Linked DNA regions of Lepisosteus oculatus. The protein of the gene in region 1 purifies or fractionates together with the protein of each later gene. This does not show direct contact. Links are inferred from orthologs where the notes say so. Each region holds a gene or a part of one and is shown in the gene's direction. Other genes may lie near its edges. The genes, in order: fndc3a and tent5c.

What was found.
Region 2: the proteins of fndc3a (region 1) and tent5c purify together in Homo sapiens (affinity purification with western blotting; 3 studies listed by BioGRID, with this or other methods). This does not show direct contact. The link is inferred for Lepisosteus oculatus from reciprocal best matches to the Homo sapiens genes FNDC3A and TENT5C.

What each region holds. Positions count from the first base shown.
Region 1 is NC_090700.1:20,295,596-20,311,372, reverse strand, and holds the start of fndc3a (fibronectin type-III domain-containing protein 3A), read left to right. Parts: upstream 1-9,178; 5' UTR 9,179-9,758; intron 9,759-14,911; exon of another isoform or gene 14,912-15,058; intron 15,059-15,777. UniProt on the Homo sapiens protein: Mediates spermatid-Sertoli adhesion during spermatogenesis.
Region 2 is NC_090710.1:32,322,494-32,337,518, reverse strand, and holds tent5c (terminal nucleotidyltransferase 5C), read left to right. Parts: upstream 1-8,508; 5' UTR 8,509-8,527; exon of another isoform or gene 8,528-8,592; intron 8,593-8,628; exon of another isoform or gene 8,629-8,735; intron 8,736-9,917; 5' UTR 9,918-9,940; coding exon 9,941-11,098; 3' UTR 11,099-11,304; downstream 11,305-15,025. UniProt on the Homo sapiens protein: Catalyzes the transfer of one adenosine molecule from an ATP to an mRNA poly(A) tail bearing a 3'-OH terminal group and enhances mRNA stability and gene expression.

The sequences.
Region 1 (15,777 bases):
ATTTCTCCTATCCTGGAATCCTTGCACTGGCTTCCTGTCAAGTTTCGTATCAACATCAAAATCCTCATGCTCACCTATAAGGCTCTGCATGGCTTGGCACCTCAGTACCTGTCTGAACTATTATCACCCTACTCCCCATCTCACAACCTTCGCTCATCTAATTCTGGTCTCCTAACTGTCCCCCAAGCCCATTTACATTCTACACTCTGTGGATGACAGGACCTTCTCCTGTTATGCCCCAAAGCTCTGGAACTCTCTCCTCAAGGATATCAGAGAGTCACCTTCTCTAAACTTCTTCAAATCCAGACTCAAAATGTTCTTCTTTAGAAGAGCCTTTACTTTACTCGTTCCATTCTTTACCCCTCTGTTCCTACTGTATGTAGTACCACCATCTACTGTCTCCTCTGCATATTCTCATCGTGTTTATCTTGTGTATTTTTTATTGTTTATTTTTAATTGTTGTTGTTTCTGTTGTCATTCTGTAAAGGGCTTTGAGATGCCACCTTTAAAGGCACTATATAAAATAAAGTTTATTATTATTATAAATGCAATCAAGACATAATTGAGACACACAGGTAATGGGTGTGAAATGCACTGATCCAAACGGACACCAGCCAGAACATATAGGATTGAAGAGCAGGTGCCTGCAGTCTCGACAGGACATCTGTACCAATAACAGGGGCCAGGCCCAGGAGTAAGAGCTAATATGTTGTAAATTTAGAAGTTGGACCTATATGTATTATTAAAGTGGAGATATATGAGTAGCAGACAAAGAAACAGGATTAGGACAGATTTTAAGAATATTTTAGGAAGCTGAAGGAATGGCCGTGATGAACAGCATACATAGTTGATTGAGTGGCAAGATCCTTCATGGCTGGGCATTTTGTTCAAGTTATTTTTGTTATTCAAGTAAATTTTGTAATTTTTGTAATATTTTTGTAATCACAGTGGTTTAGTGCAAGGAAGCACTGCAGAAATGGAAACAAAACCTCTTCAGGTTTCAATATTCAGAACAATATATAAATAACCATATACTGTATGAATTTCAATACAAAAAGGCACAATCTGCCTAATCTGATACCCTGGATTTCAGAGCGTACAGGTTTATTGAAGACGTTCAGCATCTGAATCGCCAGCAATCAAATCTGGGGCAGCAGTAAGGCTTTTAAAATGTTGGTCAGGGTTTGCAGCATTGTCACTCAAGCAAATCTAGCTGGAGTTAGTAATGCTACGCTATAACTGATTTCAATCAGCAGGTTTAACATTCAAACAGCAGCAATAAGAAAGAGTTGGCAGGGCACTGCTGAAACAGCTTGCAACATAATGGAAAAACATGAATGCTATTTTGGCTAATATTTCTGAAAGCAGCAGGTAGCAGCAAGTACTTTTTGCAAATATGTGAATTTAAATCAAGGTCAAAAGTTGTTTGCATCTAGTAGTCTGAATTCAGTGAGAAAGGGATCATGGGTTAAAATGGTAGGAGACTGGTTGAAATAAGCAGCAGGCTGGAGTAGCAGCTGATGGAATTAAAGATCTGTGCAAAGTAATACAACTTTTAGTTGAAGAAATAAATCTTCTGATGCACCTAGACACATCATCAGTGATGTAACCGAGGGTCACTTGATGTTTTAGATCTTTCAACATCAGACATCTTCACCTAGGTGACCCAGTCAAGGTTGATCAAGTACTGCTTATTTCCAGATGGTATCGTCACCCACAGATCACTCCTCTTGATCCATGGTCATCTTGAGGCTCTTTCTGCAGCCTCTGTGGTGGTTTTGATGGCCTTCCTCTTGCTCACCTATGTTATATCCAAAAGGCTGTAAGCTCTACAGAGGTATTGACCGGCAAATCCTCTGCAGCAACCCTTGATGGGCTCGCACCATGCTCTCCACCTCTTCCCATGGCACTGTTTAACCAGATCTTCATACTTGGCTCTCTTCCTTTCATAGGTCTCCTCCATCCAGTCTTCCCAGGGAACCATAAGCTCTAGCATGACCACCTGCTTAGATGCCTTGGACAGAAATACTGTGTCTTGCCTAAGTGTGGTTGTTACAGCCAAGGAACATAAGCTTCCTCCCTAGGTCAACCTTCAGCTGCCAAAGTCTTGCCAGGAGACCCGCTGATTCTCTGGGCTGTGGTTGTGGCTGCTGACCGATTCTGATGAAAGCAATGGTCTGAATTGCTGTGTGGTGATGTTTACTGATGTGATGCCTCTGCTTATAGTGTCTACTAAGGCCTTAAGCACCTGGTTGTGGTGCCATCAATAGCGGCCTTCTCCAGGGGCTTTTGGGCAACAGCTGAGGATGTGCTCCAGTCTCTCTCGCCCTTGGCACAGTAGGCATCCTGGTGAATCACTTTGCCCCATCAGTAGAGTTAAGATGGACTAAGGAGCTCATATTGTTTTCCAAGAACATATAGATATGACTGGTGGTTTTGAATTAAATTATTTTTTGGAATGATGACTTCAGCTCCTTACTTTGGTTCCATCAGTACTGGAAAAAATGAATGTCAAAGAGATCTCTGGAGAGATTTCAACTGATTTAATTTAAATTATTCATGAATACATGAATCAAGTCCCCTCTTAGTCTTCTTTGTCAAGATTAAACAGGTTCTTTCAGCTGTCAGTGAAGGACATTCCAGAGCAGTAGTGATTATATCAGGGTAACAAAAATTGTCTGAGCTCACAGGAGTGCATCATGCCATTTTATTTCAATGTGTAATTTTAGCTTTGCATGATTTAAATTCTATGCTTTTAGCTATCTATCCAAATGTGTAGTTCAAGTAGTTAGCTGCATCGGCATGCGTAGGCTGCAAAAGAACAAGTAAAAGGTTTATTCCATGCTATCTGCACACCTCTTAAATTGCTTCCCTAAAGTATCTAAAAGATGACAATGATATGCCTACATAAACACCTATGTTTTTTTTTTAAAGTAACCTCTTCAGGCTCTGCATTTCCTTTTTTGGTATTTGTAATTTCCAAAAGATAATGTATCATTACATTAGAGGACTCCAGTCCTGGCTCAAGAATGCCACTGTGTCTGCAGGTTTTCGTTGCAGCTCTGTTCTTAAATACAGATTTCCAACAATTATGCTATAATTGACTAAACTGGACCTTTCCCAGCTCATTGCATTTTGAAGATTTAAAGAGGATTATAAAACCTGCTGGACTGTGTCCCTTCAAGTCCAATATTCAAAAGCACTGCCTGCTTTAAAGAGTTTAAGGTCATCCATTCTATATAAAATAGTAATATGATACTGTCAGTCTTGATTGGAAAAGGCAAGAAATAACAGCTGTTGGCAGGAAAATTAAACACCCCCTTTCCCCTGATTCCTTTTCATTTACCCATTAGTCATGTGTGACTCATTCAAGTTCTACAGCGCCACTGTTCGTGTTAATGAGTCAGAGTTCCTTAGAGAAAATACAGGTACAATTAATGCTGCTTTTCTGTGACGCAGAAACCCTTTCTCTCTGCTCACAGCTCTCAGGCCCATTAATTACAAAGAACAGACAGGCTGTCCTTCCAGCACAGATTATCCAGAAATAAAATTTGAAAGCTCTCTCCCTTCACATATATATTTTATATGTTTGATTGTGGGTGGCACGATAGCGTAGTGGTTAGCATTTCAGTCTCACTAGGGTGCTATCTGTGTCGAGTTTGTATGTTCTCCCCTTGTTCAAGTGGGTTTTAAGATAAGATAAGATAAGACTTTATTGATCCCAAAGGGAATTTTCTCTGGGTGTTCCAGTTTCCTCCCACAGTCCAAAAACATACTGGTAGTTTAGTTGGCTCCTGGGAACATCAATCCTGGTGTGTGTTTGCATCTGTCTATGACCAGTCCTGGGACTGGTGTATCCTGCCTTGTGCCTGTTGCCTGCTGGAATAGGCACCAGCTCCCCTGTGACCCTGTATTAAAAAAAAAACAACTAGCAAATTGATGTATGGATGGATGTTTGATTGTATGCTTCTAGCACATACCATTACGCTTAAAAACATATTCCTTCCACACATTTTTAGATTTCTTTAGCACCAAGATCGAAAACATCCGGCATCACATTTTCTCCACAACGCATATCACATCCACACCTCCTCCCTGCTTGCCTAACTTTACTGCTTCCCTTCTCTCCAAACTTCTCTCTTCTTGACTCGCATATGAAATCCACCACCTGCCTATTAGATCCCATTCCCACCGCTTTATTTCAATCCTGTTCCACCTCTGTCTGTCCCATTGTCCTCAATATAATAAATGAATCCTTGAGCACGGGTGTTGTACCAATGGTCCTCAAAACTGATGCCATTACCCCTGTGTCATTAATGCCGAACATGGCTCAGGAAAATCTAAGCAATTTTCACCCCATCTTCAACTTACCATTTCTTGCAAATATTCTAGAACATGCTGTTAAAATTCAGTTAAATAACCGTCTCATTGCAAACAACCTCTTTGAACTCCTCCAGTCTGGTTTCCAAGAACTTTACAGTACAGAAACTGCCCTGGTCAAAGTCACTAGCGATCTTTTAATAGCTTATTACTCTGATTCTTTTTCTATCCTCATTCTTCTTGATCTAAGTGCTGCTTTAAACACTGTTACCCACACTATCTTACTTATTGATCACTTTTATCTTACTTTTAAGATCACATGGCCTCAACTATCACTTCTATGCTGATGATACTCAAATGTACATCCATACCAAACCTGACATTGATGTGACCATCTCTATTCTCTCTAATCGCATCTCTGACATAAAAACATGGATGACTTTAAACTTCCTTCATCTAAACTGTGTCAAAAACTGAAGTCATGCTTATTGACACTCCCCATCAACTTTATAAAGTCAATGTTGTAACCCTATCAGTGAATGGCACTGTACTTGAACTTCTGTCTAAATTGAAAAACTTGGGGGTGATATTTAATTCAGGCTTGACATTCAACCCACATGTGCAACATATTATCAAAACATAATTATTTCACCTCAGAAATATCGCCAGACTACATCCTATGTTATCACCAACTGTTGATGAAAGCCGATCAACACATTTCTCTTCTCCCAAAATTTACTACTGCAGTATAATGCTCTTTTTCGGGGTTACTAAATCCACATTGAACAAACTCCAATATGTCAAAAATTCGTCAATCAGAATCCTGACCAGGTCTAGTGCAAGTGATCACATTACTCCTATCCTGGAGTCTTTGCACTGGCTTCCTGTCAGGTTCCGTGTCAATTTCAAAATTCTCATGCTCACTTATAAGGCTCTGCATGGCTTGGCACCTCGGTACCTGTTAGAGCTACTATAGTCCTACTCCCCCTACCTTGCAACCTTTGCTCTTCTAATTCTGGTCTCCTGTCTGTCCCCCAAGCCCTTCTACACTCTATGGGTGACAAGGCCTTCTCCTGTTATGCTCCAAAGCTCTGCACCTCTATTCCTAAAGAGATATCAGTGAGTGACCTTCCCTAAACTTTTTCAAATCCACAATCAAAATGTTCTTATTTTGAAAGGCCTTTACTGATTCTGTTATTTACACTGTCTCCTCTCATTGTGTATTTTCATAGTGCATATCTTGTGTATTTTTTGTAGTTGTTGTCATTCTGTATTGAGAAGACACCTTTAAAGGTGCTATATAAAATACATTTTTTTTATTATGTGTGAGATGCAAGCTCTGAAGATTAGTTCTGAATGAGCTTCAAACTGCATAAAATTGAAAATGCAGAATGCATAGCTAAAAGGCCATTTTCTCCATGTAGTTTTGAAACAAAATGGTCCAATCAACCAAAGGATTTCATACTAATGGTAGAGAACAGGCTTTGCAGTGTGATCCATAGGAATGTATAGTACTGTTCTTGTTTTTTTTAAACTTAGTGAAGTATTGGAATTTAAAATATTTTGACTTCTCCAGAGGTATTATATTCTGCTTATGAATGATTTGTCATTCCTGTATTTTAGCAAAAAAGGTAGGTCATATTTTTGTCAGTGAACATCGGAGAGTCAATACCTCGGTTTTATATCTCATCTGAAACACGGCGTCTTTTTGCAGTATAGTGTCCCTGTCACTATACTGGGGCATTAGGACCAACATAGACCGCAGGGTGAGCGCTCCCTGCTGGCCCCACTAACACCTCTTCCAGAAGCAACCTTAGTTTTTCCCAGGAGGTCTCCCATCCAGGTACTGACTTACTGTAGGCTCACACCTGCTGCAGGATTATATGGCTGATGACAGTAAAGTCAAAGAGAGAGATGTGTCACAGTGGACTAGACCTTGACAATGGAAGCTACTGGGTCGTGAAGTGTCACTTTTCTGGTGGGAAGTTCAAGCTTATTGTTGGAATGCTACTAACTAGTTATAGTCCTTATCATCTTCACATACAGCAAACATGGCTTTGGCAATGGAACCCAATGTCTTGATTGAGAGTGGTGTTGTTTCTTCTCCAGAGTGGTCTTACTGGAGTAGACCTTGGCAAGATACTCACCTGGCCCTGGTATTTGAGCAACAACTCAAAGAGACTTTAGGTCTCAGAGAAGAAAATCTCTCGCTCTCTTTTGCATCTGATGGCAGTCTAGAATTGAGACTTTGGTGCCTGATGAGGTGAACAGCTACTGATTCAAAAGGATTTCAAATGCTTACATGTGGAACAATGCAGATATCTTCAAACACAAGGTTGCTCAGACATAACTGGTACCAAAGCAGTGTAGGTGGAGTGTCAGTGATTGACATCATATTGTCAGTGATTGACATCATAGTATTGTCTGGCCTAAAGTTGTATGGTCTGGGACACTTCGTTGAAGACCCCAACAATCAAAACAGAGAGGCAACAGGAGGTTACAATTAAGAAACCATTAAGGAAATGAGATGCTTTGAAGTATATTTTGAAACTGCACAGGTTGAGCCTAAAAAAAGAAAGAAAGAAAGAAGATTGTCACGACTCGTTCATTCTCCCTTAAGCTCCCTGGCATTCCCACGCGTGGTAAATTCCACACACGCTCATCCAGGAACTAATTATCCAACCATGTCTCTCTCTCTTCAATATTTAAACACTCTTCTCCGGCTTACCTACGCTCAATATTGAGAAGTCTTCCACAGCTTTCTCTTGTGCGCGCTTCTATTCTCGACCTGACTCCTTTTACTACCCGACCTGGTTCTCCTACTTTTGACTTCACTCTTGCCTAATGACTTGGATTTCGAATATAGAATTTACTTTTGCTCATACTACATTCCTCATGGCTTCACATAGGGGTCCAACAACTCACCCCTTTCAGAAATCCTGACAAAGATGGAACAGGGATGAGGGATGGAACAGATATGAAATCAGTGGATGCCAACAGCTTCTACCCAAACACATAACAAATTTATCCCCATAACATGCAAAGCAAAAGCTAAAAAACAGTATCCTAACTGGTTCAGCAAATCAATTTGAAATAATAAGGGGAAAAACAATGCTTTATAAAAAAAAATGAAAAACAGCAGGATCCAGTTAAAAAGAGAAAAATGAATTGCAAGCACAGGTAAAAATGGATATTAAAAAGGCCAAAAGAGAAATTGAAAGGAATATTGCAATGGAGGTTAAAATAAATAAAATGTTATATAGATACTACAATGGCAAAAGAACAGTCAAGTATCAAGTAAAATGTAGTATGGACAAAAAAAGTAAACTTCTAGACAATTAAAAAGAAAAGAGTATTTCAATCAGGTGTTTACAAAGTAAGAAGTTAACAATATACCTCAGATAGCAGAAAGAAAAAAAACTGTATTACAAAGTATCAGCATATTAGAGGGAATTTGTTTTCAGGTACAGGAAGGTACTCAAAATGAACAAATCCACAGGGTTCAATGGTATTTTACCACTAAAAAGGAGATGTTTTTAAAGAGTAAAAAAGTTCAGTTTCTTTAGTCTGTCAGTGTGGGATATTCCCTGGGGAGTATTTTGTGACTCTTCTTTTCTATAATGACGTGAGCAGGTCACCAAGATTGTGCACAATATTCTAAACCTGGCCTTACTAGAGTGTTATACAATATCCATTGACTCAAATTCTATGCTTTTAACTATATATCCTAGCATTTTGTTGACCTTTTTAATTGCTTCCCCACCTGGTCTACGATGTGTACAGTACATGGTAACATAACTTTTTGTTACTAGCGTGTTCTAGTGCTACTTTTCCCATTCTATATTTATGGTTTATACTTTTACTACAGTACTGCATGCAAAACTATGCATCGGTCTCCATTAAACTTAAATACATTAAATGAATTTTATCTATATTGTTTTGTGTTGTACAATAATAGTAATAATTCCATAATACAAAAAAAAATTGTATAAGATCCAATTTTTGAACCTACAACACATGAAAGTCTAGTCAAGCCAGACTGTGACTTAGAGTGACTGACAGGGACTAGACGTTTGACTGTGGACTTTCTTAATGGTTTGCCTACAGTGTGTACCAGGATAATGAGAGATATAGGTACAAAAATGGCACATAAATGTAATAGAATTTGTATAAACTTCAAAAAAGAGCATTTGTTAAAATAATTCAGGTGGGTAGCTGTGTCAGTATGCGTAGGCTGCAAAGGAACAAGTAATAGGTTTATTCCATGCTGAAAAGAGAAGAAAGAAAACACAACGTTTCGGCCGTGGAGCCTTCTTCAGGTGTGAAGGTTAAAAATGGTTAAATACCATTTTTAACCATTTGTTAAAAAATGGTATTAAAGGAACTAAATTGAGTGTAAATGGTTCCAGGGCTAATGGCCTAATGATGTCAAATAGTTCAAAACAAATGACAATATAGTACAACATATGCAAAATACACATATACAACATTATATTTCTTATAACAGATGTTCTTACAGGATCTAAAAATAGACACATTATACAAGAATAATAAAAGAAAAAACTTTTAAAAATGTAATTACCTTCACAAATTCACAAAGTTGGAAAGAAAAATTAATTTTATAGAAGCAGACTATACAGACATTACATTGAACCTATTTAAATAGATTTAAACTGCTGATGAACATTTGTTATCAAATAATACATCTAATTTGCTGATCTGTTGGCAGGTGATGTGCTCTTGTTCTAAGAAAGACAGCAATGTGGAGACGTCACACAATTTAGCCAGTCATCATAGTCATTATTATAACGTAGGACTGGCTGTAGGACAGTTTCACAAAAGCTGCATCCTGTCGGACAGTGCCATTGTGAGAAAGGCGCTTCTGATTCGGGAATAATTTAGCCATAGAAAGCACCCATCTGGTGCTTTCTATTTGAGTAAAATAGTTTTTCTTCTGGTACCTTGTACATAAATGAACTCTGGGGGGCGGCACTAGCATTCTGTACTGTTATGTGTGCGTGTGGTCAGAAGTTAGTTTCTGGAAACCGTGATCATAAGGAACCTTGAACTTTTTTCCAATAGATGTGCAGACTTTACGGGAAAATAGCTCGACCCCCTCCAAAAACGCGCATGCGCTGGGTTTGTGTACATTCCTCATAAAGATGGCGCATTTCCAGTGTGATAAGGATCCCAGAGATCTTGGATGCGCACCGGGACAGGAGGAAATATGATCTGCACCCTTAGCTTAGAGTAGGCGCGTACTGTGTGTAGATAAACAGGTGAAAACGGACACGTTACGCTGCCCGAGTATCGGAGCGTCTTCTGACTCGGCCGCAGCTGCGCTCTAGCTGAGGAGGGGGATTCCTATCTCTACAGCAGCAGCAGCTGGTCTGTGCCGCTTTGGGTAAATTACAGCTTCCGACGAGCTGCCAGTTCTGGTGAGTAACGTCTTCGTCACAACAAACTGTTCTAAGACAGCTCTTTCATCTGCAAACGTAAGAAACTGCACCAGGACTGTTTGCTTGCGATCGGTGGTTTCCTTTTCGCTGCGACATGACTAATGTTCCGTCTGCGTGCTGAGCGCTAGAGCAGCTCTGGCTTTGCAAACAGGCCCTGTGTTTACGTCACAATACACAGCAGTTTCTGAGGAACTGACTTAGGGAGAAAATGAAGTTTTTCTAAAATCCCACAAAATCATACTAGAGTTGTTCTAGTCGCAACTGGCCGGAATTTCAGGGTACTGCATAGGTATTGTTTTCCTCTTTTAAGTGCTCGAAAGCTTAGATTTATAGTAAAATCCTAGGAAAGTACCTTTTTGTTCAAGGCGGAATTCACAAATGAGTCAGTTTAATAAAAGCGTTTTCAATATATTGCAAAACCATCTACTAATGTAGATGATAAAATATATCATATTATAGGAAGACAAACAAGTACCAAGTATCTACTAATAATAATTGAAAAGTTGTTTGAGTTCATGGTTTCACATTTTGACTGAAGCCATTAATTCAACTAACAAGTGGCTTGATTGGAACTTTTTCATGTTCTTTTCTTGCTCAAAAGCTGTAGATCTCAGGTTATCTATGAACCACATTGCTAAAAAGAGGTTTTGTAGCTTAATTAAAGACTCCAAATTAAACCTATTGTTGGGGGTTGGGGCAGGTTAAGGCTCTGCTGTAGAACTGAGAGCTGGTCCACAGAACAAGGGTAAGGACTCCTTTTTTAGAAAATGCACAGCAATGCTGCAGTTGTTTTATGTGCTTGCAGTTGTAGGAATGGCAGAAGGCTGTAATCTTTATGACTGTTGACCGTAACTAAGCTGTGTTTTTTTTTTTTGCAACAAGCTGGTGGTCAGTTGAGACATTGAGAGGGATGTAAAAAGGTGTGTGTGTGCTGCAAGACTCCCCCCTTCCAGAAACAGCAGGGACAGAAGTGTATGTCTGAGGCCTGGATAAGGTTTCCTACCTCCTGGACTTTGACTGGAACCGTCAATCAGCTGTGGAAGAAATGTCCATTTGTGCTTGTACTTTGACCGGTTCTATTAAGAGTGCAGAAACAAAATAAAATGGCTTTTGTGCTTGCTTGTAGCATATGGATAGAATGATATGGCTCGATGGCTTGTTCCATACACCCAGGAATCAGCCTGACCTGCTCACCATTTCTTTAACTAGTTGGAGCACTTCATTATCTGTTATGTAACACAGGGACCGGAATGGAATGCAATATTTTTAACAAAGCTTTGAGATGGTGCAAGTATCTGATGTTTTGTACTACTTTTTTTGGGCTACCCCACTGTTCCTGTTCCCTCCTTCCACGAAGAGTGCATGTTGAGCACTACCTTTGTCTTTTACTGGTGCCGTTGCTGAATTAACCTCTGCTTTTGTGGTCTGATTGCTTTGTGTATGTGCTCACAGTTAATATCAGGACTGTTACTTATTCCTGGGAACTGTTGTGACACCATGGAGCCTAACCCAGAAGCAAGGATGCAAGCTGAGACCTTGGATGGGACATCATTTGCAAGGCGTGCACCCACACGCACACACACACATGTGCAAATAGGCACAAACAGGCATGCTGCCATGGACATATATGAGCAAACAGGTACACAAGTCCACACTAACCTGCATACCCTTGCGAGATGGGAAGTGTGAGAAGGTGGGTGCTGTAGAACAGATAATTTGATAACTTGGAACCATGATCAAATCTGGTTAATTTCAGGAAGTTTTTTTTTTTTGCATGCAGGACCTCGACTCAAAATGAAGACCTTTTTGATCTATACCTACTTTTAAGAAACAAAATGAGCCGTGCAGTGGGGAGCATTGCTGCCTCGCAGCGCTGGCACCCTGGGTTCAATTCTTGGAGAGTTACCTGCGTGGAGTTTGTATGTTCTCCCCATGTTTGGTTTCCTCTGGGTGCTCTGTTTTCCTTCCAAAGTCTAAAGACATACTGGTAGGATAAGTGGTTTCTGGGAAAATTGGTAATGGTGTGTGTGTGTTTGCAACTGGGTTTTCTCAGGACTGGTGTCCCATCCAGGGTATATCCTGCCGTGTGCCCATTTCTTGCCAGGTTAGGCTGCAGCTCCCCATGACCCTGTATTAGATTAGCTTACTCACATCCTGATGTTGCACGCACTCACTCACAAGGGGGCCACATTTTCCAGGAGCCAAGTAGCCTGCCCGTAAGCCTTTTGAGGAAACCAGAACACCCAAAGGAAACTCATGCAAATGCAGGGAGAACATAAATACAAATTCCACATAGATAATTCTCCAAAAATTGAGCCCAGGGCTCCAGTACTGTGAAGCAGCAATGCCCACCACTGTGCCACTATGCCACCCTTAAAGAATCTCATCAAGGTATTTCTTGATTGTGAGGGTCCACTGTCACTTCTGTCTTCAGATAGGTGTTCCCAGTCTCGGTCCTGGAGGCTCATAAACCTTCTAGTTTTGGGGTCAGCTGACTTTAATTACCTCATTGAAGCCTAAATAGAACGAATGAGTTGCTTAGGTGGAACATTTTCAGTTTTTTTTCTACTCAGTAGTGTGGGAATTTACTTTATTCATAAAATCCAGTTAAAAGTTAAAATCTCACTTTCAACGTGTTTAAGAGCTGAAAACATTCTAACAGTTTGAATTTATCCTTTCATTAAACCATATGGGGTTGAACTGTGTAACCGAGAGGATAAAAACCAGCGGTTGTGTGAGCCTTCAGAGTCAGTATTAGTAACCATTGACATAGAAAACAGAAGGACTTTATAGGCCTGGAGAACTGTAGTGCAGGTCCCCTGAGCAGGAGAATATAGTATTTAGTATACCGTGTGAAAACCTAGTGTAACTCTACACCTTCCATGTCCTGTATTGGGGTAACAACATGACCCAGTACAGTAGTTCTCTTGGGACACTGAGACAGGATATATTTTTTCATTTATACGTGATCTGCAAATAATCATAAACATTTAAACCCTGTGGGTAATGGGATTTAGTAACTTAAGATGCTTAGATAGAAGGAAACTGGATATACATTCGTATTCCTCCTAGCTTAGAAATTTGCTTACAACTAATACTGTTTTTTTATTGTCTGTCAAAAATGTCTGTAGCCTATCCTGTGGTTATGATGCTCTAAGAGTCATGTTAATATCCTGTACTCTTCTGTGTTGCTATGTGTTATTTCATGCTGTTTTGACATTGATATTTCATGTGTTTTTTTAGGAAGAAAACATTTTACCCAGTAAATGCATAATATTTACAAACAGGAGGAGGCTGTTTGGTTGTTAGTAGCTCATTAATTTGAGAACCTCATCTAGCCCTTCCTGAGAAGAATCTAGTGTATCAGCCTCAATAACATGGCTGGGCTATTCCATACTCCCACAACCTTTGTGAAAAAGTACCTCCTGTTCTCGGTTAGAAATGTGCTTCCACATCATTTCTGTTTGTGTCTTCTGGTTCGTGTTTCACAGTTTGATTTTAAGAAGTCTGCCGGATTTATCATTTCATTCCTTTGGGAATATTTACTATTAACTTTACTATTAGGAGGTAAGACTTCAACCTGCCCTGTTTTAACCAAATCTGATCACAAGAATACTGGATAATCACAACTGTCTTTGTCCTGTAACTCTTGGGGAACTCCAGTTACAGGTTAATGAGCACCTTAGTTTCCTGTTGATAAAACCAGGTCATTTTGTGATGCAAAAGTAAAATATGTAGGACTAGATATTTTAAACTTAAAAAAAAAAATCAGTGGCTAAACATCTGTAAGAAATAATTGTAAAAAACAAAACAATGTGAGACTCAGGATGACAGGACGATCTGCGTCAGCTCTCACTGGGTTAAAGAGAAAAAATAAAGTTTGTGGGATCACGTAAAGAGAGGGCGAACACTTGGAATGGAAAATAAAGTGACAGGACAGTAAGGCTTCCTTTACCAAAAATGTTCAATTTTAAATCCAAAAGTTGCAGTATTTAGCTTGGACCTATTTATCAATCTCTCCCAACCCCTTGAGCCTCTGATGCGTTAAAGAGATTTTGAGAAATGTTTGGAGACACTATAGTCTGTTATTCAGGAGCATTGGTATATGTGGTGGGACAACCTCTTGAATAATCCTCAGGGGTTCAAAAACACTGACGTTTTTCTACTCGTTTCAACTTTTCCATGCCCGATGCAAAAACGTATTTGTCCAAAAATTAATTAGAATGAAGCCTGGAACTGCCTCTAAGGGCTTCTTCTTATGTGGTGTTAGAGCAGGCTGTGTATGGAAGCATTGTCAGCATATTATCCAACATATCAGAAAGGACACTAATAAGTCAAGTAGAACAGGGCATGGGAGATACTGAAGGTACAGAATTAATAATTTAGTGTTTTGATCAATCACAAATGAACACAAGCAGAAAGTGGACAATGTAGTTATTGTCCGTATTGCTAAGATGGTGTATATCCATAATTAGGCATTGTTTTGAATTTTAAATAGCATTTCCTTATTGTTATCGCCTCTCTTCAGGACTAACCTGTCAAACCTTTGAAGCTAAAACGTCCTTGCAATACTCTGTAACACCCTCCCCTACAAAGACTTCCTTGTCCAGAGATAGCCCATATCACACTCCTGTTTTGAATGTGGTCGTGTTCTGTATTGTGTAATTTTAACGTTGCTTCAATTGACTGTGCCCAATTTGGCTTTGTAAACCTTTCTCTGCGTTAACTATGTAAAGTGTTGAATCCACATTCTTGCTTTGTGTTGCTTCCTTTTCCAAGTCAGCGACACCCTTGCGATTTTGAAATGCGTGTCGTGTCGTGCTTTGTCAACAGGGCATTCAGTTTGCATTGCGTCTATGTCTTTGTGTGTTTCATTTGCCGCCGATTTGAAATCGGCAAATCTTTGATGGCTGGGTGCAAACCTGCTGTCATTTTTACTATTTTCACCAAAAAAAGCTGGGCACCACTGGCTGGGTTTCCCCAGGTTTTCCCCAGGTTTTCCATTGGCAGAGATTGCCACTGGACTGTTTGCCTCTGTAAGCTCTAATTTTTTCTCTACAGTTTCAGCATCAGGGCTTGATCAGCATGCCACAGCGCACTGCCATCATTTTCTGTCTTTTCTGCCACAACAGAAAAACAAAACTCCGCATTTGAAGAACCCTGCCAGAGGCTTCATCTATGATACCTTCTGGGTTTCAGTGATCATTATCAGGTGGATAAGCTTTTCCTCTCTGACAACACATCAGCATAATTTAAGCACGGTGATAAAGAGATAAATGGTAAGCTTCATTTTTTCTTCCGTGTACTTGACATTGTCATTCTCATAAGTGGAGCTCTGCAGTGGTGGGGAAGGTTTAGCATAGTGATGCAAGTATGGCTAAAACACTTAGCACAAAAATGAGAAGGCAAGAATGCAGGCCTACCTTGGCTTAATGCATCATCCTTTTGTAATAATCCAGTGGCTCTGTATCGGAGTGTGTGAAGGCGCAGAGTTGCCAGCTGACATTTGCATTTGTATTGCAGCTTTGGCTTGAGGACAAAGCTCCTCATGCAGAAGGCTGATGGATACTCCTGTTAGCTTTTGGCAGACGTACTGGGGGAAACAGGGTGTCACATTGTTTTGGGGGTGCTTATTTTTTATTTTTTTTTAAAGGGAGTGGAAGAAGGGAGAATTCTTACTATCAGGAGTCTGCAAAAAAAAAAACTTTTGCAATGTTAAAACTCTGGAGTTATGTGCTATACAACTGATTATATTTATTCTTGCTCATAGCATATAGACTACTTGAGGCAGAATAGGTAGAATGAGGGAGAATAGGTAGTTGGGGGGAAAAAAATAAAAAAAGAGAGATGTAGGTAATGACTGGAAGTTCACTGTGTCATTGTTTAGTGTATTGGCTGTTATACAGAAATTAAGGGCTAAGTGACCTGAATCAGCTTTCATTAGTTTGTGAAGTTTTGGTTTGGGTCATACACAGCCCTACCACTGTGACACCAGAGC
Region 2 (15,025 bases), on another chromosome or scaffold:
AAGAAAAACATCTGCTGCTGATGACAGAAAGATAAGCAGAGCTGCCCAGGTAAAACCCTGAAACTGTCAGTGACACCAACAGCAGCCTCCAGTGTGCAGGAGGTACCAAACTGTACCAGACAGCAGACTTACAGGGGCTGCACTGCAAGATGCAAACCTCTCATCAGCACCAGCAGGAAGGACAGGACTGTCCAAGAGAAACCTCGGACAAGCGGGGAGAGAGACAGAGCACGTGGGGCTGCCCTGGAGCTGGCTCACTCCTCTGAAGGGATGATGTAAGCAATGATGGTGGCAGCAGAATGAACTCTGAAGTTTACAGACACGTTTGGTCTTCCCACATGGAAAGAAATGCTTCCATGCTTATCACACAATATGTATTTTGCTTTCTAAAGAAACAGTTAAAGTCAGGTCTGCCCCTCAGGAATGGACAACAACAAAGTGGCTGCAGCAACATCAGAGGCTCAATGGGCCACAGACTCCACGTGTTTACTGCCTGACTTAAACGATGAAATATTTGGAAAGTGAAGGCATCCTGATACTTCAGGTCTCATGAAACTACCGGGTAGAAAACCAGGGAAAAGTTTGAGCAAGAAACTTTACAAGCTTCAACTTCACACGAGTTTAAAAGTTGAAGGTAAGTTTCATGACGGGATCCGAGAAAACTTTGACCCACAGCTTAAGCTGGGTCTGTGTGCCTTAGAGTTTAGCTTTCATTGGGGCTGTACCTGGGACGTCTTTCTGAATCTAAGAGTGTACGCTGGACAGGAAAGCACATTCTTTCAAACTGGACATTTAATCCACCTGTAATATGACATTTCATTACTTCGTACTTCTTGTTTTACATCTCTAATGTGACCGTCTCGGTTCTGCACGGGCTCGTGCCCTCGCCACAACACCTGGGCGCGAACCCAGGTCTCCGGCGTAACGCAACAGGGAGCCAGCCGAGTGAGCTGAAGGAGACCCCCCCAGCTCGGACGGCTGAGGTCCCTGCCGCGCGCAGGGAGGGCGATGACGTCACCGTGTCCGAACTGGCTCCGCTACAGAAACATAAAGCAAACAAACAGCTCATATAGGCATGAAAAAGAAGCATTTACAGTAGAGAAGGAGCAATAGACTTAATTAATCTGATTCCTTTTATCTCTGGTCAAAGTGCCCTATAAACCAGCACATCCCTTCTCCTAAGTCGCTGTCTCTCCAGTTGAATATTCGGCACAGCTGGGCTTGACTCACATGTCCTCTGAGGTGTCTCATGGTCTGTGACCCCCGGACTACTTCATGGTAGAATCATAAATATCAGCCAACTGAAATCGTTTAAAAAAAGCAGCATTAATATCATTTTAAAAGGTCTGTTTGATATAGCCCTTTGACTTCGCAGTTAATTGTTCCACAAAACTGCCAGTACAGGAAATGGAATTGTACATGTTCAAGAAGCAGACCAATAAATCATGACATTTCATTTTTCCCTTAGGTTTCATTTGGTTTTATCAACATAAGCAGTCAAACCGATCTGATTCAACTTTTACTGTACATCTACTTTGGTTGATTAATTTGACTAATATTCATTAGTCATTCGTTTATTCGTTATTATTATTCTAACAGGCTGGCAGGGCAGGAATGTTCATTTTCACTGTGCTGCTGTTCGCTGGACAATTCTAGTGTAGAACACCAGCCTAGAAGCACAAACACAAATCTCGAAATAAATATCTGAGGGCTGCTACTTAAAGAGACAGAAGATAAACCAGCAGAACCTTATGAAATGATCTTAAATTTGTTTGAGTTAGTTCAGGTGGGTGGGTGCGTCAGCATGCATAGGCTGCAAAGGAACAAGTCAAAGGTTTATTCCATGCTGAAAAGAGAAGAGAGAATAAACCTATTACTTTTTCCTTTGCAGACTACACATGCTGACGCAGCTCACCACCTGAATAAGAGGGACTGCTTTTTATACACAATACCACTACAGCAGATCAGTGCTTTTGTGCTTTTTGACTTTTGCCAGTATTTGACTTTTTGCCAGCAGCAGCAAGTAAAGGTCAATGAAACCACCAGGAGGGTTACAGAGGTCAAGCTCTTCTTAATGGGCATCTGTATCTAAGTAATTCTACACTTTCAAGTAAGATTGGATCATGTAGAATAACTGAAATATAATTCAGAATAAAATAAATATTTAGACAGGCTGCCTTGCCATCTGTGTAAAATGTAACCTGAGTCTAGATTTTAAAGAAGAATATCGGCTGTGGTTCAATGGTGCTCAGAGACAGGAGACTGACAGTCTTAATGGAGAAGACAGACAGCACCCAGGATTTGAAAAAAGCAAAGGGTGTATTTTGATGCAGAAATAGGTCTCCAGTCTGCTCCTGCGTGAGTTAATTTGGAGAATTTTGATATGCTGAATGGATGATAAGAACGGGCTTTATCGGATGTAAGAATAAAGTGTCTTTTAGGCTTTTAGGCTCAAAACTCAAGTATGAGCATGAGAGAAACTAGTAACAAAGCAGATGACCAGCACTCATATCGCTGCTACACTGCACAGGGGTGGGTGTCAACATCAATCTATCAAAATATTGATTACCATACTTTATGTCATTATATCGGTCATGTCATCTCACAGTAACTAGAATTTGACCAAACTACCTAAACTTGACATCCAATGGCACCTCTGCTACCTGATACCGTTGTTTGTGGCGGTTTTGTGATGTCCAGTGGTTGTCACGCCTCCCCACTGCTGATAGCCATGCCTGAAAACTAAAGTTCCTGTGCTTTTAGCAGCAAGATCTTTATCAGAATTCTTCTTAACTGGGACCCAAACGCGGTACGTCGTCAGCCTGTGCTCATGGATGATAACTGCACATTGGTTGCTTGAGGCTACACCACAATCAGGCTTAAAACAAAATCAATCTGAAACATTTCCCACCCTTCACAGTTGCAGTTTTTCATTTTCTGTTGACTCATCTCATGTGGGATGCACAGACATTGTGTCCTGTATGTCCCTCTGCGCCAGGAGAGACAAGGTGGCATGACTGAGGTCAAGAAGCTGAGAACTTCCATCGTCCCCGAAGTGCTTCAGTACTGAGCACTCCCAAATCAGAAAGTGAGACTGTACTGAAGCTTATGAGGAACCGAGTAGAGAAGAGTTTGCGTAACAGAAACTTAATTTTCTCTATTATCTTTTGAAGGGGAAAACCACATTCAGCAGAGTTTTATTTCTGAAAGTGATTTTTTGTTGTCTTCCTTTCTTTAGAAATAATAATTCTTGTGAAAGTGTGATTTCTGAAGAAACCGCTGTTCTAAGGCTCAGCTGCTTTCTAAATAATTTTGTTTTGTGTCATGGAAGAGTTTAAATGGTTTCCCAGCAGTTAGATGGGATGTACTGTAATGTCCCCCACAGCTGCACTGGATATCACCCAGACCTGAAGAGTCCATGCTGACTGAGTGCTGCCAAAGAACTTCTAAAACACCAGTTTCCATCAAGATTTCGAGAACTAAAGGATAAATATCACCTTTCCATTTGGCCTCTTACATGCATGCTACTACTTTAAGTACATACAGTAGCAAAAAAATAGATTTGTTAAATTTCCCAATGTAGAGAAGCATAAAGACATCAAATATATCTGTATTCATCAAATTAAAGTAGGGTGAACAATTGTGGTGCTCAAATGACTAAATAAAAAAAGTGTCTTGTTTCAGGACATTTTGGACAAAAGTCCTCTTCAGCCGATAGGAAACCACATTGCAGTTAACTTCCTGGTTTTACAACATCTGTGCATCACGTTATGATGATGTCAGAACAGAACATTTATTCCAAGAGGTTCCAAAGTCTCTGGAGTGAAGATCAATTTTCGCTCCTTTTTGTTTGCATGAAGCATTTGTTCCATAACACTGACTTACTCCACAGACAGGGATCTCTTCAGCAGGGTGATTACCTCCAAGGTTTGACTGAAGTGACGAGCGACTGGAAATGTTGTGGTATTAATTTGAATGCTCAGTAGATGTTCCACTAAATGGCCCGTTAATCATCTTTAGCTTTCTCCACTTCTTTCAATGGAAATTCCGTAAACTACTCCTTTAGAAATGCAGATAAAGGGTTAGCGAATGGAAACTGGTGAGTTAAGGCCCCTGATTTCTCTGCAAAGGTTGATGTGTTGCTTGGAAAAGTGGCTTTTAAAAATTCTACTGCTGTCAAAGTATTCTTTTATGTCTGTGTTCACATCTACTGTACATAAAATTCTTGTTCTTGTTTTAAAATTCAGTGCAGGGGTCTTTCTGTAGAAGTTTACATTTTTTTCAGTATGTTTCTTATGACGGGTGGTGACTTAGGACCAGAGGAATTCTGTTTTCTCTCAGTTTCTTACTGTTGACTGAAGCATTCTGTCTATGGCGGATACCCTTTTACTGCACAAACCGCAGTTTTTTTTTTAAAAAGCCACACTTTTCCTCACTTCTGTTTAGGAAATCGTGATTATTGCTACAAATCCATCTGAGTCATAAAAGCTGAAAATAAGGTAATAAGCCTTGAAATGAGGAATGAGGACAATTTAGAATATATAATGAATCCCACTGTATATCCTATTATTGCAGGTGGAGCATTAGTTAGGGGTACTGAGTCACACCTCGAAGGCTGAGTACTCAGATGTAGGGTGGAATATTGCTTTGTACCCCTGTACATGTAGTTGGCTCCAGTTTGTTCCAGCAAATATCATCCTGCTGTATACCTTTACTGGGTCATTATTGTAAATAGGAATTTATCCTCAATAGACATATCTACTGTAGTTAAATAAAGCAATAAAGATTACATTCAATTTTTAAACCTGTTTATATTCTGGGCTTGAACTCTTGGAACTCTTTCCGAGAAGCAAGTTACAAAAAACAAGCTGCAGCACTGTTTTTAAGCTGCTCTTAAATTGCATTATGTTGTCCGTTTCTGTCTCTCAATGAAGACGACACCCCATTGTTATCAATGTTTTGGCCCACTGTTAGATCTATGACACATTTGGGTGACTTTGCTACAAATAAACTTATTTGTTGAGTAAGCAATAAGCACCGATGAAGCAAAGAGAAAACTCTTCTTCCATTGTGTCAAACTAAAAAGCAGAGTCCTAGAACTGAAGCAGATTGAAAAGCGGGGCTACTCATTTAAGTCTCAAGAAATCTCACCATATTTAGGCCTGGAAGTCTTTTGATCATTTGATCTGTTGGTTAAGACTGATAGCAATAAAACAGGGCAGAGAAAAGTCCAGAATGACTCACCAGCTATGAGAGAGTTTCTGCCAAGGCAAGACTCTTCTTTCACTCAGCTGGCACTCAGAGAAGAGCCGGAGGAGAGACCTTTGCACTTCCATAAGAGGAGACAGCAGCATAGCAATTGGTGGAGTGTCAGGACATGCACACTTCCTGCTTGTTCTAGAAGATTGCTGCTTTTCTTGGACTAAAATCAATGAGCTTGCCTTTGGCATACTTACTAGACCCGTGATGTTTTCAGGTGATGTTTAGATGACTGCAAAATATTATAGGCAGGCAGTAAGAATCTGCATTATAAACATGTCAAGTGGATGTATCTGTGAAAAGGACTGAGTTTATAATGTGTCATCAGCAAAAAAAAATGACTCTTCATTTTCCTCTTTGAAAGAATAGAGAATAGCAATAAAAATAAACATTATTTTATATAGCACCTGTAAAGGTGGCTAGTCAAAGCACTTTACAGAATGACAACAAGAACAAAAAAAAGAACACACAAGATAAAACACAATTACGATACACAGAGGAGGCCGTGGATGGTGGTATTAAGTATAGTAGGAGAAGAGGGGTAAAAACTTGAACCAGTTCAGTAAAGGCTCTTCTGAAGAAGAAGGTTTTGAGTCTGGATTTGAAGGAGTTTAGAGAAGGTGACTCTCTGATATCCTTGGGGAGAGAGTTCCAGAGCTTGGGGGCGCAGAAGGAGAAGGCCCTGTCACCCATACAATGTAGACGGGCTTGGGGGACAGAGAGGAGAGCAGAATTAGAAGAGAGAAGGCTGTGAGGTGGGGAGTAGGGTGATAATAGTTCAGACAGGTACTGAGGTGCCAAGCCATGCAGAGCCTTATAGGTGAGCATGAGGATTTTGAAATCCACACAGAATTTGACAGGAAGCCATTGCAGGGACTCCAGGACAGGAGTAATGTGATCAATAAAGCCGGTAGAATGCAGAACGGAGTGAAAAGTGTTGAATTTAAATCAATGGAAGCAAAGCTAGTGAGACCTTAGAATATGGTTTGTAATACTGGTAATCTCTTTTAAAAAATGACATCAGTATCCTGGATCTTTTTGAAAGAAAAAGTCAACAAAAACACTTCAAGAAACAGGACCCCTTCAACATAATCAGAGCTGATTAGGACGAAGTGGGGAGAGGCGTATTTGAAATCCTGAAAGACACTGACACAGCCCCAGCGATTCACCTACTCATGATTTGGCAATGAAAGATGGTCCCAAGGTCAGAAATAGAAGTTGCAAGCAAGTGCATTCAGAACTAAGAGCAGGAAGCTCTTCTTTGCACTAATCATAGAGGGTGTCCAGAGAAAGCCCTCTTTACTGCAGTCACTTTCCCAGGATCTTTCTGGAAACTGCTGGATTCGGTTCTGAGATCTACTCGCAACTGCAAGAGCGCGGTGTCTTGTTGGTGAAGTTTTCGTGTTTCTATGCATTGTCATAGTCCTTTACTGATAATGGCTGGATGGATAGATGTTCAGAAATACAGATGTTTTTCTATGGTTTCCTTGAAGCCTCTTTTCTCGAGCGGTATATTTCAGTTCAAAGAGGATCATGCTTTTAAACTGCATAGCTGGGCGCTGGTACGGCTAGCTGTCTTCTATGAACTTGTTTTTATTTTTCAATTCGTGTCAACTTAAATTATTGGGACATTTACAGTTTAATTTACCAGATGCTTCGATACACTTACACATACTGTAAAGCTTTGAAATCCCAGTAAAAGTAGATAAATCATAAATTAATAACTCAGAACAAGAACCGAGAGGGCGGAGCTTTGCAAACTGTAGTTGAGAACATATGGAAAATTCATCACATCAAAAACACATCTCATCATAAACACATTAGTGATCAACGCAATAACAGTAGGCTATGTTACAGATTCGGTATAACCGGTGTATAACCTACGGTGTATAGGGTCCAGTCAGTATCTCAAGCCCTTTTTATCCCACAAAACACTGACTTTCTGGTGTAACTAAAGCAGCCAGGAACCGTCTGCTCGAGTTATCTTATAACCGAAAGGTTCGGCCCTTATTTTGATGTTTAATTTCCCCGCATTGAAACCTTAAGAGTTAATTCCACTTGCTTTTACAAGCTTCCCATCAGCAGGGGAAGCAGCAGGACTAAGGGTCGGATAGGCTTACCGTTTAGCCTAGATTTTGTGAAACCTGATCGGAAACGTCACCTCAAAACATTAATCAAAGCTCCGCTGTTGCGAATGTTGTCAAGACTGAGCAACAGACGAGCTTACATCTAGCTAAACTGGAGTTCGTCTGTGTGCAACGTGAAAGCGAGCCAGAAATGTACAGTAAATCGGGCAGCGAGAAGCGCAAAGAACAGAAAAGACCATTACGTTTCCAGACACAGTGATAGCATGTCAAGTGTTTTGAACCATTCCAGTTGCTGTCGCCAGGGCTGAATTAGCAAACTGAAACTGATCAAACCTTACCTCAGGTCCAGCATGTCTCAGGACAGACTGTCAGCTCCGGCGTTGCTGTCTGTAGAGAACCGCGCCGCACGGCAGGTGGATTTCAGCGATATCATCGACGAGTTCGCTGCGACGAGTCAAGCTATAAGCTATATTCACTTTTTAAATAACTAGTTACTAAGTATCAAGTTCAATGTGGTGGCCCGTTTGAACCCTGCTCTCTTGCTCTGTGTGCACTGGTGGAGGGAGAAGGGGGGCTTTTGTATTTACTGTACTTGCACCCGGGCCCAGGTATGGGTTGCGCCGGCACTGGTCGTGTCGTACCACACAATAAATCAAGGGGAAAGTAGTGCAAGATGGATGTGAAGTAGTTTAGTGTATCACGGAGTTACAGTGTAACCATCAGGCACAGGAGCGTATATATAGATGTCTAATTGCGGCTAATTGAGCAGGTTTTTGGCTGTCCTTCGTATACTGTAATTGTTTAATATAATTGGATGTTTTGAAACAGCGTACTACGCGCAACACACGCTCCCAACTAATAATCGTCCATCGCCGTCGCCCTCAGCCCCCAGACTGAGCGGCCTGCCCTGAGCGCACCGGCTTCGCGTTTGAATCCAGCGGGCGCTTCCCGTCGCCTGGCAACGCACAAAGCGTGGCGACCAATCGGGGGACGCTGCGCCGCGGAGTGATGCCTCTCCAGATAACTGTCCTGCGGTCGGGGATGAAAAAATGTTATAAACCCCCGCCCGGTGAAGTCGTCTTCTCCCCCCTCCCCCCAACGTCGTGTTTTCGCCGTGGTTGAAATAGGGCGTACATATCCCCCGAGGTTGTTTTCTTGTTGTTTGCTCTCCATTGATACAGGTACGAGTAACAAAATAGTGCCCCGCAGTGGAGGAATACGCGTCCTTCCCGGCGGTAGTGATTCGGCGTATAAGAGAGCGCTCCGTGGGCCCGGTGCTCACAGCGCAGCAGTGGGGTTGCAGGTTGTGGATGTGGCTTGAGTGTCTGTATTAGAGCTGTTTCTCTCCTGCGTGTCATTTACAAGTGTTGATCGGAACCTGTCTGCGCAGTAAGTATACTTCTGTATCCCGCTGGTTTGGATGCCTTGGTTTGTTCAAGGTGTTTAATAAAAGTGCACGTCCGGGGTAAGAGTTTTTTTTTAAAGTGCACATCTGGTGGTGGGTGTTTAAACTTGAGAGCTTACTTTTAGGACGGAGGGGAAAGAGCTTTTGCTTCTTGTCTGTTAAAATCTTTTGCTTTAAAACCGTGTGTTTGGGTTGGGTTTTTTGGCGGTATAGAGTGTTTTGCTAACTTTGTGAGACCTAGCGGTTTCCGTATGTGGTAGCTGTACTACACGTGTGATCTGCGTTGGCTGAAGTTTCTGCAGACGCCTCGTAATAGACGCACGTTAATTATTTTTAAATCCGGAAAAAAAAACTATGCACACTCCTGGAACTCAATATCCAGCCTGATCGGTCGCACGCACGTAATTTTGCTTCGCCCGATCTCTAAACAAAATTGAAGTTATGCGAAACCTAGAATTAAAATGTCGAGTGACATCACGCAGTGCGGTCGGCTTTTAAAAAATGCCGAGCACCCCACGTCTCTTTTATTCCGGTTACAAAAATAGAAGTGAGTTTCTTAATGCGTGGTCATTAAATCGGACTAGATCGTCCTTTTTCCTGCTCTCCGAGCGCGTCTTTGAGCCGTGGATGTGGTTTAGTCAAGTTATCTGAAGTTGCGGATCGCTAAATTAAAATTTAAAGCAACTCGAGTCTTCCCCCCCCTCCTCCTCCCGCGGCGATTCCAGCTGTTTTAAAAGGTCGGTAGTTAATAGGAGATAAATGCCCCGAGTTGTATAGGACGACAGCAGGGTTGGTTGAATGATCCCGACTTGGCTGCTGTGTGGGACGGCGATGCGCGACTCTTGTCAAGTTTGTCTTCTGGAGCCGCAAACCGTGAGCTGCCCGGCTGTCGGGCAAGTCGCCCAGGGGCAGAGCTGGAAAACCTGCCTTGTGTGCTGCATGCGAGGCAAAGGGGGCAGGACACAAATGAACGGGCTGTTTGCTTTGGGTAAAGGTCATATTGTTGAGTCATCGTGAAGTCACAATGATTCAATTCGCTCGGTGTTGCTGCGTCGGTATACAACCGTTAAGCGTGCGGGATGCGCTCTCTTTAATGTCGTAATGGATTTCTCTTCTGCTGCTGTAGTCATACATTAATCCTTTTTTTTTTCCTCCCCTCCCGGCAGTTGAGATTTAGACACAGCTGAGCATGGCCGAAGCCGGGAGCAACCAGAGCAGGTGCTCCAGCGTGCTCACCTGGGAGCAGGTGCGCCTCCTGGACGAAGTCATGACCGAGGCCGTGCCTGTCCACGGCAGGGGCAACTTCCCCACCCTGGAGGTGCGGCTCAAGGACATCGTCCAGATGGTGCGGAGCCGCCTGGAGGAGAAGGGGATCCGCGTCCGGGACGTTCGCTTGAACGGCTCCACCGCCAGCCACGTGCTGGTCCAGGACAACGGCTGGCTCTACAAGGACCTGGACGTCATCTTCAGGGTGGACCTGCCCAGCGAGGCCGAGTTCCAGCTCGTCAAGGAGGTGGTTCTGGGCACGCTGCTGGACTTCCTGCCCGAGGGCGTGAACAAAGAGAAGATCACCCCCACCACCCTCAAGGAGGCCTACGTGCAGAAGCTGGTGAAGGTGTGCACCGACCTGGACCGCTGGAGCTTGATCTCGCTGTCCAACAACAACGGCAGGAACGTGGAGCTGAAGTTCGTCGACTCGATCCGCCGGCAGTTCGAGTTCAGCGTGGACTCCTTCCAGATCGTCCTGGACTCCCTGCTCTTCTACTACGACTGCGCCGAGAACCCCATGTCCAAGCACTTCCACCCCACGGTCATCGGGGAGAGCGTGTACGGCGACTTCGCGGTGGCCCTGGAGCACCTGAAGAACAAACTGATCGCCACCAAGAACCCCGAGGAGATCCGGGGGGGCGGGCTGCTGAAGTACTGCAACCTGCTCGTCCGGGACTTCAGGCCCACCGACGAGGAGAGGTTCAAGGCCCTGGAGCGCTACATGTGCTCCCGCTTCTTCATCGACTTCTCCGACATCGTGGAGCAGCAGCGGAAGCTGGAGTCCTACCTCCAGAGCCACTTCGTGGGCGAGGAGAAGAGCAAGTACGACTACCTCATGATCCTGCGCAGGGTGGTGAACGAGAGCACCGTGTGCCTGATGGGCCACGAGCGGCGGCAGACCCTGAACTTGATCTCCCTCCTGGCCTTCCGGGTGCTGGCCGAGCAGAATGCCATCCCGGATGCGTCCAGTGTCACCTGCTACTACCAGCCAGCCCCCTACGTCCGGGACCTGAACTTCAGCAACTACTATGTTGCTTCCTGCAGCCAGTCTTATCCCACCTGGCTGCCGTGCAACTGAAGGAGCAGAACTGATTTGAGATGAGGGGACCAGGAATAAAATAAAAGCTCCCCTCATCGGTTGTGAACTGCAGATGCAACACGGGACACAATGCTCCTTCTCTCTCTCTCTCTTTCCTTCTTTGCTGCAGAGATGGTTCCAGACTCTTGGGCCCCATCGTGGCGTTTGTCGTACTTTTGTTTCTCAATAAATCCTGTTCAAGTCTAGGACCGTGACATTGCCTTAATGCGAGTGGCAACAGTTCTGTCCAGATGCGAGGACAATTTCTTGTCTAAAAAGAGTGCCTTTTTTTCCCCCCAAAAGTATAAAATGTATGTGATCTGTTGAAAAATGTAATGAGCCTTTCTTAAAAAAAAAAAAGGGGGGTTAAATTGGGATTATTCCTGTGTACTGGAAAGGCTTAAAAACCAAAAAAAAAAAACATAAAATTGGAAACCAAAAAAAAGAGGGGTTAATGCACATAAATATGCAGCTATTGCACAAGAAGTATTTAATGCCTTGTTTGTGTGAGTGAGGTTGTGTTCTTGTGAGATGTAACTGTGGAACTGAAGGTGCCTCCTGTCCTCCCGGGTCATAAGCAAACTGCTTTAGCAAGAAGAGCGACTTGACTGGTCCCGTCTTCCTCCGCTCGACGGGCGCCCCCTCCGGCCTTGCAGAGGTGCGGGTGCACGGGGCAGGGGCAGTGCTTAGCAGATTGGTGTTGGTGGGGGCAGGGGGGAAGCTCAATTTAAGCTTCAACTTAAAGGGTTTTTTCCCTCCACTTTTCCTTCTTTCCGTTACAGTGGAACGTTCCAAAAATCTGCCCGTCGGCCCTCGGGAAGAGAAGAGGTGCTCTGGCTGTCGCCTGCTATCCTGTTCTCTTTTCGGGGTGCTGTTTTGTGGTTTTGTAAATTTTTTCCTTTTTAAGTTTTGCTTACCGCCTTGCGAGGTGTGCGTGCTGTGTCTTTCTGGGAGAGAGGAAGCGTATTGATACATCTGACGGATGGCTTGCTGCAGGTAGTCAGCCCTGCAGGAGAGCTGGTGGTTGTGGGTTTGGGTCACTGTGCTGCGGTTTGGAACCTGGAATATCGTGTCCTTGCAGAGTGCTGGTAATTGGATCTTTCTCGGCCCCTGACGTTCTTCCCTTGCCTTAAAAGGGTCTGCTTGGGTATTGAATAGCTGGTGTGCCTTCATGCTGCTTTGTACTAAAATGGGATCCAGGTCTGCAGGCAGCAGCCAATGAACGTGTCAGCAGGCTATAATTATCTCTGGAAGTGTGCAGTCAGGGCACTCTTTGTGGCCACCTTATATATCGTGTTAACACTGACAAATGTCTTGCCGGTGTAGAAACCACATTTTCAGGGTTTGCCTCTGATCCATTCTGCAATTTGGCCAAGAAGGTGAGGGAAATGACTTCTGGAGCAACAAGGGCCTGTGCCTCCTGCACAGAAGCAAGCTCTGCCTGTGCTTTGGCTGAGGGCAGGCTTCTCTTTGAGCAGTCGGGAGCCCCAGCCGCCTTTCTGTACAGGCGTGCTTCATCACCAGCTCCTGCCTTGGAGAAGGAACTCGGCTCGCTTCACAGACGTCCGGCGGTTTGCTTACGTAACTTTTTGTTCAGTTTTTTTCCCCTTTTCTTCCATGGCCTCTTGGCACTTAGCTCTGAACTTCAGTGGCTTGTATTATGCTCAGATGTGCCATGGAGAGATAACTGTATTCCCTCTTATCTGCCCTAAACATAGGGTTGTTGACCTGCCCTTTATGAAAAAGATAGCTGGTTGCAGGGTCACTGTAGTCTCCTGCAGCAGTGGGGTATGGTTCTGGGTCAGGGCGTATTGTACTTGCATTGCAGCGATGTTTGTGAGGCTCTGGGGGGGCTGTGGTGGGGAGCGAACTTTATTGGAGTGAACCTTTTTTCTTTTTGCATGTTATGTTGGGATATAAGAAAGGGGACCAAATGGCATATTCTATGAATTCGTAAAAAAAAAAGTACAGAAGTGCCTAGCTCTTTTTCCCTTTTTTTTTTGTCTTTGGGGGGTGTAAGTTAATTTCAGAATGTGTATGAGTGGTAATGCAGTTTTCGTATGAGTAGGCTGGATTTTTTTTTTATATAGCTACACAGTCATAGCTGCTTGGGGGAAGTCATGGTCCTTGTTAAGGAATTTGTGAATTAAGTGTTATTTAAAGCGGTGTTTTTCTTTGCTTTTGGTCTGTTGACTGTTTCCTGGTTATGGCTGGGACTTACTAGCTGAGTGAGGAGACTTGTGTCGCAGCAACTATTTTACAACCCCCCGGTTTCTCCGAGCGTGTTGAAGGTATAACCATTCCAGCAGCATGCTTATTTTCCCCCTCGTTACTTTCCAGAAATAAAAACTGATTTTTTTAAAGACCAGTCCACTGAAACATTCTCGGCATTTTACTAGAAGCAGACAAGAACAAAAAGGTCAGATCTTCTGCAGTGTGCATCCTTATCGGAAGTGCTGTTTGACCACTATCTTTAAATGCAAATTTGTATCCCAGTTTAAATCATACTGTGCAATTCAAGCCATACTATAGAGAATAGTGGATGCGGTACTCTTTCATGGGTCTCCAAAACTGTGCCATAATGGACACTTTTTCAATCCCGCAATAGATGCAATTAAGTAATTTAAAGTCTTTAAACATTGTTCAGATAAGCTATTGAATGTTTTAATATGGGACTGGGGGGTCTTGGGGTGGGGGGGGGATTATTGTGGTCATGTGTAGGCCGTGACCCTCTTCATCTTCTGTGACTAATAAAGTATTTGTGAATTGAGTTTTTTTTGGGATTTCTTTCTCCTCCTGCAGCATCTGCTGCTGGCCTTCTCCCCTGCCTGTGTCATGGCTCGGTGTCGTGGCCTTATCTGCTTCTTCCATGAGGTGGGGTATACTGGGTTCCAGGCTGTGGTGGGAGTTGTGTGGGGTCGATTTTGCTGGGAGTCATTGGATTTCACTTGAAGCACAAACGGTGCACCTTAAACATTTCATGTACTTGAGTAGATCATTTTTAGAGTGGGGGGGGGGGTGTTTGGAATTTACTCCTTTTGTCCTTTAAACAAATGACAATTACAAAGTATTGCAGAGGTCTTTTTTTTTTATTGACCTAAATTTACAATTCATTTTTCACATAACAGGATGTGACAGACAGTTTATAGAAGTGGGTGGGGATTTTTTTTTAGCTTTTTGCCTTTTGGCATTTGTTCTTGTTGAAGGTGCATTCAGTTAAATTCATAAGATTTGCTTCTCCTTGACTTTCCAGGTAGTGTTACTCCTTGGCTTGTCCTGGGTTTGTACTTGATAGACTTCAGTATAGTCTCGTCTGGGAAGGAGTCGTTCAACGCTTGTACTCTTTGCAAGAATTTTGGTCATAGTGAAAGTGTGAAGAGGGGGTAATAAAACATCATTTGAATTCCAAAATGTTATCACCAGCATCATGACTATGTATAATCCTGTAATTTTTGCACTTTTACCTCACTGTTTTCCTTTGACAATGTGTAAAGATGGAAAAAAATAAACTGTTGAACCCCTAATCTTCTTTATTGGCTTATTGTTATAGACAGAGGTTGGGGCTGAACTATTTTACTATAATGCTCCTTTTGTTTTCAGATTTTGTGGAATTGAATTACATGTACAGTATGTTGTACAGGAGGAATGCATAAATGATGTGATGGTTACAAGGTAAAAATTGATTGCTTTCCATTTCAACCCTTGTCAATATCCATGTTTGCTTCCCCACAGGTGTGAAGATAAAGAGCTTGGGTGTTTGTCAGTTAAATGTGGATTCAGGCTTTCTTTGCAATCTTTTTTTCTGCTACCTGCGTGTAGCACTCTGCACTTCTCCATTAAATATCACCACCATGGTGTTTTGCTCAAATTTGGTTTTTAGGTCTTTTTGAATTTGCGTTATGGTAGTCTTTCAGAGATTGAGAGAGG